Linked DNA regions of Arabidopsis thaliana. The protein of the gene in region 2 interacts with the protein of the main gene of each other region in a pairwise test. Each region holds a gene or a part of one and is shown on either strand. Other genes may lie near its edges.

The links. The genes of interacting proteins can lie anywhere in the genome.
Region 1: the proteins of AT4G18220 (region 2) and PHO1 interact in a protein complementation assay, tested with the Arabidopsis thaliana proteins (one large-scale study listed by BioGRID).

Annotation. Positions count from the first base shown.
Region 1 is NC_003074.8:8,387,423-8,395,040, forward strand, and holds the start of PHO1 (phosphate 1), read right to left. Parts: upstream 6,046-7,618; 5' UTR 5,821-6,045; coding exon 5,572-5,820; intron 4,511-5,571; coding exon 4,418-4,510; intron 4,023-4,417; coding exon 3,797-4,022; intron 3,171-3,796; coding exon 2,822-3,170; intron 2,736-2,821; coding exon 2,687-2,735; intron 2,590-2,686; coding exon 2,518-2,589; intron 2,436-2,517; coding exon 2,306-2,435; intron 2,209-2,305; coding exon 2,088-2,208; intron 1,980-2,087; coding exon 1,730-1,979; intron 1,619-1,729; coding exon 1,514-1,618; intron 1,433-1,513; coding exon 1,388-1,432; intron 1,304-1,387; coding exon 1,151-1,303; intron 1,059-1,150; coding exon 780-1,058; intron 707-779; coding exon 570-706; intron 487-569; coding exon 396-486; 3' UTR 1-395. UniProt on the Arabidopsis thaliana protein: Inositol polyphosphate sensor that associates with transcription factors to regulate inorganic phosphate (Pi) starvation responses. Probably acts by binding inositol polyphosphate via its SPX domain. Acts as a Pi exporter, mediating efflux of Pi out of cells.
Region 2 is NC_003075.7:10,076,952-10,080,868, reverse strand, and holds AT4G18220 (Drug/metabolite transporter superfamily protein), read right to left. Parts: upstream 2,232-3,917; 5' UTR 2,142-2,231; coding exon of another isoform or gene 2,102-2,141; coding exon 2,071-2,101; coding exon of another isoform or gene 2,025-2,070; intron 1,902-2,024; coding exon 760-1,901; 3' UTR 507-759; downstream 1-506. Other genes in the region: AT4G18230 (UDP-N-acetylglucosamine transferase subunit ALG14-like protein), read left to right, coding at 172-348; PUP10 (purine permease 10), read right to left, coding at 3,374-3,917.

The DNA of each region.
Region 1 (7,618 bases), on a different chromosome or scaffold from region 2:
CCTTTTCTTCTGTGAAGTTTTACATTTTCTTTCGCCTCTGTAAAATGATATATAAGTAAAAAGATACTGAAAAAATAAGTAAAATAACTTGAGGAGATAGTGACATTCTTTATTAGAAAAGAAAGAAGACTTATTGAACATAGAACGCAAATCAAAATTTACATAAACCAATATATGAAATTAAAATTGTCTTCTTCGTTTTGCACTTTGGAGCGTTTAACAGTTGTAGAATCCATTAGTCTCCCATAATTAATATGTTTAAGGATAAATGGTTAGGCAATTTCGGGAGTTTCCCAAAGGTTTTTCTCCGATATGACTACATCGATGCAAAATCCGAAATGCTTCCTCTAAATACTTGAAACTTGGTTCGATCCTTAAACCCTCCAAATCTTTGTTTAACCGTCTGAGTCCCTGTCAAGGAACGGTAACGGTACGGTCTTCACTGCCCTAAATTGGCCGACATTGTTTAAGTGCTCATTCTCCACTCTGTAAATACCGAAAGAAAGATTCATGTTCAATAACATCCAAAATCAAGTTTTAATAAACCTAGGTGAAGTTTTTTTATTTACCTGTAAAAGTTCCAGTGGCCTCGACGAATGACTTCAAGTGACGCCAAGAAGAAATCTAGCAAATGAGACTGAACAGGACTGACCCTGAATCTCATAATTGTCTCGATCCAAGCAACTCGCAACACCAAATTCAACGCCTGAACAACTCAACATTTAGTCGAAGATCATAAATTGTGAAACACGCTATAGTTAGTTATGTAATTGGCTTACAATGGAGAGGTAGTAGAAGTTCTTGTTCCGGAGAACCAAATTGTCTCTTAGCCATGGATTTTTCGATTTAGGGTTTAGAAGACCCCAATCCTTGACAAAGTCCCAGTATAATTGGTAAATAGTTGCCACAACGGAGCTTACGAGCACCATTGTTAACCACAAGTCGTTGTTTTCTCTCGCGTAGGTTATGCGGACTCCGGCTGCAACCATCGCTGACACGTATTTTCCCATGTTGATTAGGTGATCAGGGTTTGATTCGTCCCACCATCTCCTTACACACTGTAAATTAATGTTCATAGTGTCTTAGAAGAAAGGTTTTAAGGGACTTGACAAAAAAAAAAAAAAAACAGAGAAACCCTAAGTGAGCTTACTTGCATGGCACGCCAGAAGTAGGGTAAGAAAGAAATCAAGTAAGCAAATTCTCTATAGTATCTTCCGTTTTTGCAGGTATTGTATTCGTGAGTTTTGAAGCTTTGAGCCAAGAAGTAACACCCGGTTGTCTCAAGGTGTCTCAGCAATGGAATCTGAATAGAACACGATTAATGGGTTAATTATCGACTAAATTAGATGTCGTCACCATCTATTGAAGTTGCATAACTTAGTTTTACCTGGCTAGTAAGTTGATCGCCCATGAAGAAATCAACCATCAAAACCTAAATTTACCGTACAAGAAAAAAAAATCATGTTTCTGCTATTTCTTGTGCTGAAAGTAACCAAATAACTCCAATTGTTACCTTGTAGAACGGTGAGCAAACAATCTTCCGCAAGATGCGGATGAAGCAGAACCTTGTTGGACGGTAGAATGTGTTAAATGGGCATATCAAGACGCATATGAAGATCTGTAGCATGCACACCGAAAAAGAAATTAGCGGTTTCAAATTGTGATTGTGATAGCGATTGCGATTGAAACGCGCCATATGATAATTAATGAACTAAGTAATTTGATTTACCAGGAGGAGGATGCCTGGAATGGTGTCTACTTGACTAGCTGAGAAACCGGAGGCTCGGAGGATGAGGTGGATGACCATAGCTGCCACAACTGAGGTCATGAACGTGGTTCCCATCAGAAACGCGTCTCGGTAACGCAACGCTGTGTTTGGTGCAAACTCAAAAATAAAGGTGTAGTTTATCCTCGTGTTCTTCCACATGTATAGATTGCATCCATACATGAACATGTGTAGACTCAGCAACGCAAAAACGCTGCGTTTTTAAAAAAAATCATCAAAATGTAAGCGATAAATGGTTAAGTCTCATTGGATGGTGACAGTTTTGTTGAATTGATCATTAATTCGTATAATTATTCATTACCTGAAAACAGGATAAACAGTCTCCAGATAAGAGACTTGATCACTAGAAGTGAAGATTCCAGAAAGATGGGCTAGTATTATGTAAATAACAAACAATGAGATGAAGCAACCCGTAAATAACCCTGCATAGATACACAATCTCAATTTGTTAAAACTCTGATGAACTGTTTTTTTGAATGGTATATAAAGGTATAAAGATAGAGAAAATGAAATAAGTACCAACAAAGAAAGTGACCATGTGAGAATCTTTGGTCTGGTGGGGTTTCAAGAATTTCATGGCCTTTTTCCTGTCATTGTTGGCGAAGTGCTTTGTGAATATGGACTCCACTTCGTCCATAAGTCTTACCACCTTTTTTAATTTTAATCAAACAATCATTTTCAAACAATCTTTCAATAAATTATTCATAGCATAAGACCTCCTTTTATTTTACCTTATCAGAGCTGATAAATTGCGATCTCTTTACGACTTTGAGATACGTTGATGATGCATTCTGACCAGCAACCTGATGATTCATATATATATCAAAGATTCATCATTAACCACTATGATTATCTTTTTCATTGGTTTATCACCGAAAGTACAATCTATAACCAATTTACCTTATCGAATTTCTTCATTATTTTTGTGAAAGCTATCATATTCAACGAGCTGCCATAATAAAGCCAACAAAAGAATTAAAAATGATAAGATCATCACTAAATAAATAAATGATATTGAGTCATTAATGAATATACCTGTAAGTCTTTAACAAGCCAAGACCTCTATAGAGTTCAACAAAGGCACTTCGTATCTTCTTCTCGGCGCTTTGAATATTTTTCCAGTTGGTGAAATCTGATCTTGGGTTGTTAACGAGCTCTTCCCAAAGAACAGACATGGCGGTGGCGATGGATCTTGCGATACCACCTTCGGCTCCGGCCACAGCGTCGGGAATGTCGACGCGGAGAGACATTTTTGGTTTGCCTCCTTTTGTTTTGCTCCTCGTTGCAGAGTTTATGAAACTCACACCGTTCCTCTCTAAGGCCTCTATGATTTCATCTGTTCTTGATGTTTCACTTTGTATCTCACTTAGTTCTCCTGGAGACCCTGAACAATAAGAAAAAATAAATTACAAATAATTATATATTTTGTGACTATTAACACAGGTCTAAAGAGAAGAAGAAAATAAAAATTTTTGTCGACCTAGCCATCTATTGTCGGTCCATTTTTATTTTCTTACTCACAAACATTTTGTTCGTTTGTTAGTAGAATCGATTTGTGTTCTTGTCGGCCATTGAAGATATGCATGTCTACATAATAAAATCTCAAAACTCTAAAATTCTTTCTTTCACATATATGCAGCTTCGAGTTTTGCATCCACATGCAAAAGATTTGTATGCTTAACAAATCTTGTCATTCAGTAGTAGAATTTCTATTGTGTTATAACAAAACATTTGAATTTTTACTTAAATTATTTCAAAAACGCTAAATTGTGCAATGATATAAAAATATTAAATAACCTACTTTTCTTTTTACTAGCCGCACTACGTAAACGGCCTCTAGGACATGCACTTTTGTGATTTCTAATGGGTGCAGGCCGCGTCATATCTCAAATATACTAATGGTTAGCTTTTAATAAGAGTCTTAACTCTTAAGTCAAAATGCAGAATTTACTAAAGTACCCTAAATCTGACCTAACTTGTAGTAAAAGCATTAATAAGAAGAAGACTAACCTGCAGAGAAATCAGAGTTTCGAACAGAAGATGAGAAGGAGCGATGTGAATTTGAGCCAGACAAGTTTCTCTTCTTCCGATCACTTAAGATCTGTTTGAGTTCTGCAAGAGTCTCCAACTGTTTCTTCAGAATCTCTCCTCTTTCCAAAAACTCTGTTTCTTTGGGCTTGTGAAACTGATTCACTTTGTTTAGTTCTTCATCCAATCTAGCGAAAAACACTTTAACCTAAAGTAACAATAACAAAAGCATTCAAATACAGATCAAACATTTATAAACTCTTAATGGAAGAAAAAAGTAGTCTAAATTTGACCATCTTCATTAGGATTTAGGATGTGGTCGTGTTGTGCAATTTAGGCTAGCAATAAAACCACTATCTCTATGTGCTATGTTATTTAATTTTCTGCTTTTGAAGCTTAAGAAAAAGGAATTCGTAATATAGTAATAGTGATGATGATATTAATAAAGTCAAATAAATGCACCAAATAATAGGTCCTTATTTCAAGCTTATACAGTATAAGCAAAAAGAGTATTAATATAGCTAGTTATATAGAATCCCAATAATAAATAAAATTTAAGTTTCAGCTTTTATAGAAAAATAATATAGGGATGTAATTATGTACCTCGTCTTCTTCGGAAAACAACTGAACAAGTTCAGTTTGGTAAATCTCATCGACGTCATCCCCAGTTTCTGAGCTACCTCTTCTTCTCCTTACCTGTTAATTCTCAAAAAAATAAAATAACATCATATTAAATTTCGTTTTATTATTTCAACAATTTCATTAAATTCAACAAACCATGTAAACATCATATTTATTTATTTTGATATTTTTCTTATACGTGTCATTGAATTGTATGTTTTCAGGGGGTGGTGACTTGTGAGTTTGTTATGTCTTTATATAATTTTTTCCGTCACGATGGTTTCGTGAGATATCACAATCTTCACAACCGTTTCCGCATCTTGGCTTTCGTGAGACTATGAAGAAAAACAAACCTTGTTTTGGAATTAGTGATACCAAAATCTAAGATGTAGAGTAATAGAGTGTAGTAAGTAAGCATTTATTTTCCGCAAAATTATATATTTTGCAGATTTCAGGGTTAGTTAATTTATAGGATTTTTCTTAATTTTGGAAAGCGGTAGGTTACTAGGTTAAGATATGAGCTATAGGGTCTAAATCATGTGTATAATGATTGTTTTCCTGAACAGAAATACTTAGATATGTATATATTACATATTTAATACACACACAAAAATTACCAACTTACTCTACAAGAATTAACATATTAGAACTCTACCAAATCATGTCAAATATGTAAAATTTACATATCTCGTTAATAAATATTTTGAAAAGCAAATCAATATTGTAAGAAAGTAGAAAAACAAGAAAAAGGCAGATTTCTCATGTAGTACTAGACAAAGCAGAAATAACTGGTAATTCTGACGCGTAAGCAATTACAAAGACGTAAGCATACACGAAACTCAATACAAAACAATCATGGGACCAAAAAAGACGCTAATTTAAATTAAGTTAACAACAAAATCACTACATTATCACAAATAATCTAAATTCTTTATCCGACAAACTCAAAAACATACGGTCTCACCAATTGTAATCTTTTAGTCCCTAATGGTATCATGTTCAAACTCCGTAAAATGCATTTAGACATAAAGAGCTAGGTTACAAAGTTACACGGAATTTTAGACTAATCATTCAAACCGACAAAAGAATCAAGCATGTTTTTCTTAAGACAAAACTAAAAGTAGTTGATTAATTACCTGGAGAATCTCTGGTTTTTCTGAGTTGGAAAATAGTTTATCGGAGAAGGTCCTGGCCAATTTGCGAACCGGGTCGAAAAGAGATCGACCAAAATCGGAGTGATGACCAATGGGGTAATGAGAAGCCGGTTTTGGTTTACGAGAGGTTTTGATTTTCTTGATTTGTTTCTTTAGTAAACAATAGTTAACAAAGGCCTCTTTCCACTCCGGTATAAGTTGTGCCTCTAGCTCCTTCGAGAACTTCACCATCGTCGCATATAATTTCTTCCGTTTTGATTAATTGCTAATAGTGACTTGGAAGAAATTATAATGTGAGGAAGGAGAAAGACAGAGAGAGAGGCTAATGTTACAAGAGGCATTAAGAGGGAAAGAAGAAAGTTTGTATATATAGAGAGAAAGACGTGTAGAGAAGGTGAATTTAGTTTCTTCTTTTTTTTTGGTCACTAACTATTTTAATGGAAATAAATGATTTTTAACACACATGGGAAGGTGAATTTAACTTTTTGATGCGATTTGTTATAAGTAAAGTAACTCAAATGGGAAAATGGAAACTTTTGTTTTTTTAATATTAAATTTCTTGGCCATTATGCTTAGCTTAATAACACTCACTTATATTGGTAGATTTGAATATAACGCACTCGTTAGTATTGGTGTGTGAGTAGTGCAACTCGTCACGAATCCCACACACAAACACACTTCTATTGCATTCAACAAGGATAATATTAAAATTTCTCTTGCAGACATTCTTTTCCAAAAATAGTATATTTTAAATCCATTTTACAAATAGGCTTTATATATACCATGATCCGTGATGTAATATTACGTGTGACTAGTAGTCCTTACAAAAAAAAAGTTTAACGCTTTGTAATTGTTATGTTAAGCGAGACCATATATATATATTTTTGTCAAGTTCGAGACCATATTTTTAGTTTCGGTATTATTGTATACATTTAATCACTAAAATTGTACCATATATATTTTTTATTTGCTCAAAAAATCTTTTTTTATTAAAGATTAATATGAGTTTCGATTGAATATATTCTTAACAAATATGAAAGTATTCCTATTACATTCAAAACCATACAGAAGTTTCGTAATAATTAATAACACTTTTTTGCGATTTCTTTAAAATTTTTTTTAATAAATTTCAATTTATAAAAGATAAACATCTTCACTTTTCCATCAAATATATGTTGTCAATCTATTTTTTGACAATAAAAACAACAGTTATAACTAAGTGAAGTTAAATATTTCTATAATTTGTAAATAAACTATTTAAAGTTTAATAAAAAATAAATTTAATTTAATTTAAATAGAAAATATATTTAATTTCAATAACTGATTTGAAAGCAAACTGTTTTCATCTGCTTACCCTATATATGGACAGTTTGCAAAGAAAAAAAGTGATGCAAACTGATATAGATTTGTATCAATTTCAATGAACTAATGATGTCAAATAAATAAATAACAGATTATTTTAATTATATATTTTGTATCATTAATTATCAGTAACTAATTCAAATTAATATCATGTTTCTGATACAATTTAATTGATGCAACATTTTGTTTTAGTGCAAATTGATGATTGATTTTTCTATTTTCACATGTTAGCGTCATATAGTTGTTAGTTCGTTACCAAAAGCATATCTATTCAATATGATATATAGAAATGACTAATATGACAACTCTGATGCAACTAGCGGAACTTATAGACAAGAAAAATGTTGGAGTCGGAGCTAAGAAGGCTGATGGAACTAAAGTCTAGAAGAACATATTCGTAGTGCTGGTTAGAACTCAAAATGTAAAAAAGGGGAGAAAATGTTTAAAAATGATTTTGAAAACAAGCAAGTAACAAGAACAAAAAACGTTTCAACGGTACTATCTTTCTGGTGGATATCTATTTTTCCAAAATATGTCAGAAATCGGTCAAAACTTTCCAAAGAAATTTGATCTGTCGGGAATTTAGTCGGGATTGGCTATATATACTTGGACAAAGAATCATCAAGATTTGGAGAAAAAAACAAAATGGAAAATATATTAGGAGTTT
Region 2 (3,917 bases):
ACACTTCGGAAATATTTTATCAAGATTCTTTGCAGTTCTTTCCTCTACATTTTGGATGACCTTGAATGGACTTGTGACCAAAAACAGAGGATGTGTTTTGTTTATTCTTAGTCATGGTTTCTCCATTACATCTAGAATTCCCATAAGTGCTTGTTTCATCTTGGGTTACAGGTGCTGGGAATTAGATGGTCATCAATCTTTTATGTTGAGAGTGTAGCAAGAGTGAAAAAGCTCTCATTAAGTGGATTGTTGCTTTACAAGTTGAGAATAGCTGATCAATTCTTTGTTCAATGGCCACAACTGCATAAGAAGTATCCTCGGGCTCACTATGTTGGGTGCCTGATGTAAGCTGATTGGAACTCTACTTACACCTAGATATATTACAAAAACTTAGAAAGCTACATAGTGTACACCTTCTCTTTATATGCAGGATTGAGTTTTAAACAATGAATTTTTGTAATCAGCTGTTTTGACTTTGTTAATGACTTAATGCTATTTCAGTGAGCTTATAATGTGATTTTGGTCATCTTATTCCAAACTAAACCAGAATCGTGCACAACATATATTTAAATAAAATATACTTCATGTTACAATGATGCACACATTTTCAGGCTGTGACTTCACTTGAGTCGCATCACAAATCTATTATGTTTATTTTTCATTGTAGGCTGCCTTCATACCAATAAAGAAAAGTAAGTTTACTTGATCAGCTCGCTTTAGTCTGTAAACTGTGTGTGCCACAATCTTTGAAGTAACAGCTTATTTTGATTGCTCACTTGACCCTTCTGCTTCTGGTCGGTCAGGGGATTCTGTTGTTGGTATTTCATTACTTTTCTTCAAGTTTGTTTCATCAAGATATTGTTGGTAGACATAGGATACGAAACCCCAAATAGCTAGAATCATAGAAATCACCTTTAAGCCGTTCATTTTGTCATGGAAAATGATGACAGCCAGGATAGGAACCACGGGGAGTCCCAAAGCGCTTATTGCATTTGAGAATAGGGAGGAAAGCTCGAAGATCAGTCCTGTGCAACCGATGGAGAATACCTGCCAGGTAACAGCTGTCCACACTAGGTTCATGACATAGGATACCTTCCCAAGTTTGTAGTTTTCCATTTCACTGCTCAAAGTTTTCCACTCGCTACTAGCAAAAAGCCCCACCACGCTAACACAACTGGCCACTAGACTCATGTAGATTATCATATTTATAACTTCTGAGAAAGTTTGCTTCTTTAAAACTTTACGAAAGGCTAGCTGTTGTAGGGATAAGAGTAGACCAAACCCAGCAGATGCACCAACGGTGCATACGAAACCTTTGACATACTCTCCTTTTGTAACTTTTTTGGAATCTGATTCCTCGTTATTAAATGCAAGGAGGGTGGAAGATATAGTGAGGAGGAAAAGAGAATTCAAAATGATAGGAGTAAGTTTTTGTGAGTTGAGTAAATAAGAGAAGAAAGCGGTGAAGGCTAACTGTGATGCACAGATCAGGGAAAGGGTAGAAACAGGTAGGTAAAGCAGTCCAATGGAATATAGGTAGCAAGCTGCTCCTACAAGAAGTCCAAGCACTATGTAAACTAATGCACGGTTCCTAAGTGAGGTTAATTTGCCATCTCTCTGAGTTGTTGTATGTGTTTTGACTGACAAGAGATGATATGGAAGTAGAATAGGAAAGCCTACAAGCTGAACTACCGTTGCTAGCCATTTGCTGTTTCCTCCATTTTCATAGTATAGTCTGCCCAGAATTGTAGCAACTGATTGGCCTGAAATGACAAAGAATGTATAGATAGCAACCCGGAGCCACCGTTTGTATGTATTAGAGTGAGATAGTTTTGTTTGGCTGCCACTGACCGAACTTCTTTCGTCTTGATCTGTTGGAATTGGTTCTTTTCCCTGCTGAACTGGTGAGTGATGGAAAATAACGCAAGAAATTAGATTATGACTTATTTGTTGTCACACATGAAAAATATTGATATATTGAATAATAAGATACCATAACCATATTTTTCGTCTTTTATTTGAAGATAAAAGACCAGTAGGTTCTCGAGGAACTGGTTTATGCTTACTCACCAATGACTTGTACTTCTTGATCCCCCTTCATAGTAGATGTGGAATCCCCCTCCTTCGAGATGGACAAGGAGGTACTAACAATGTTCTGAATAGATTCTAAGTATTAGGTATCTTATTATCAAATTGCTTGGTTACTAGTGCTACCAAGTGATTGCTTCTGTGATATGGGTGAGACACGCTGTAGCTATATATTTAGAGATTAGGAATCGGTCATCGTCTATGTTTTGATTGTACTTGTCCCCACATTCAGTAAATGCCAACTGTATATCTTCTCTTGCTGTGAATTTAATTTCTTTTGTCACTATTGTTGATCTAGAGATGAGTCGAGTCAAATCAAGAAGGAAATGATGTGTAGCCATTAGTCACTCAGTATTTTATACCTGTGTGACACATCAGCCATATGCATAGACACAAACTTAACACGCATGCACACAAGTTGTAAGATTGTATGACCGTCAGGATGTCTATTTTGAAAGTTATTCGTCTTCTTTAATTTCTTTGGCTTGTTCCGTCTGACTATCTTTCTCTTATGAGATCAGGCATGTGGATTAGAAACACATTTATGGAGATGATGTCTCGCTTCTCTTTTCAAAAGAAGACATTTGCACCACAATATTGGATGGCAGAGGAAGTCACTTTATTAACTGCTAAGATGGAGACTGCCAAATGGTATTATTTCTGGTCATTTACTTTTTGTACAAAGCTCTGTTTCACCAAGGATGTTTGGACCTGTCTGATTAATATTTCTTCTTTCTTCATTAGAAATGATTTTCTGTGTGTCCTTGTTTCACAATGTTTCAGGTAAAACTAGAAAGTGGAATAGTGCATTGAAATCTTTTTAAGTTATGGCTAAGGGTTAATTTTTATCAGGTGTCACACTCACAAAATTGACATGGTTTTTTATTAAATAAATATCTACTTTTATCAATCTGCCTACAGGTTCTTGTTACATACAGGGTTGAGTTACATTTAATCTTTAGCTGCTATGAACCCAAGTTTAAACGATGAACTTTTGTAATCAGCTGTTCTAAACTTAAGATTGTTGGTTCACTGAGATTACAATGTAATTTGGGTAATCGTAATTGAAACTAAACCAAAGTCATTCACTACTTATTTAAATGAAATCTACTTCCTGTTACAATGATGCAAAAAATTTCAAGCTGAGACTTTACATTAGTTGCATCAAAAATGTATTGTGTATTCTTCAATGTAGGATGCCTCCAGGCCGATAAGTAAAGTAAGTTTACTTAACTAGATTGATTGAGTCTGTAAACTGCGGGACAGCATCTTTCAAAATATCAGCTTATTTTGATTGCCAAGTTGACTCTTCTGCTTCTGGTGGGTCAGGGGATTCTGTTGTTGTGATTTCATGATTTTTCTTCAAGTTTTTGTCATCAAGATATTGTTGGTAGACATAGGAAGTGAAACCCCAAATAGCTAGGATCATAGAAATCACCTTTAACCCATTCATTTTGTCATGGAAAATGATTACAGCCAAGATAGGAACCACTGGGAGTCCCAAAACGCTTATTGCATTTGAGAATAGAGAGGAGAGCTCGAAGATCAGTCCTGTGCCACCGATGGAGAATACCTGCCAGGTAACAGCTGTCCACACTAGGTTCATAATGTAGGATACCTTCCCATGTTTGTAGTTATCCATTTCACTGCTCAAAGTTTTCCACTCACTGCTAGCAAAAAGCCCCACCACGCTAACACAACTGGCCACTAGACTCACGTAGATTATCATATCCATAACTTCTGAGAAATTTTGCTTCTTTAGGACTTTTAGAAAGGCTAGCTGTTGTAGGGATAAGACTAGACCATAACCAGCAGACGCAGCAACGGTG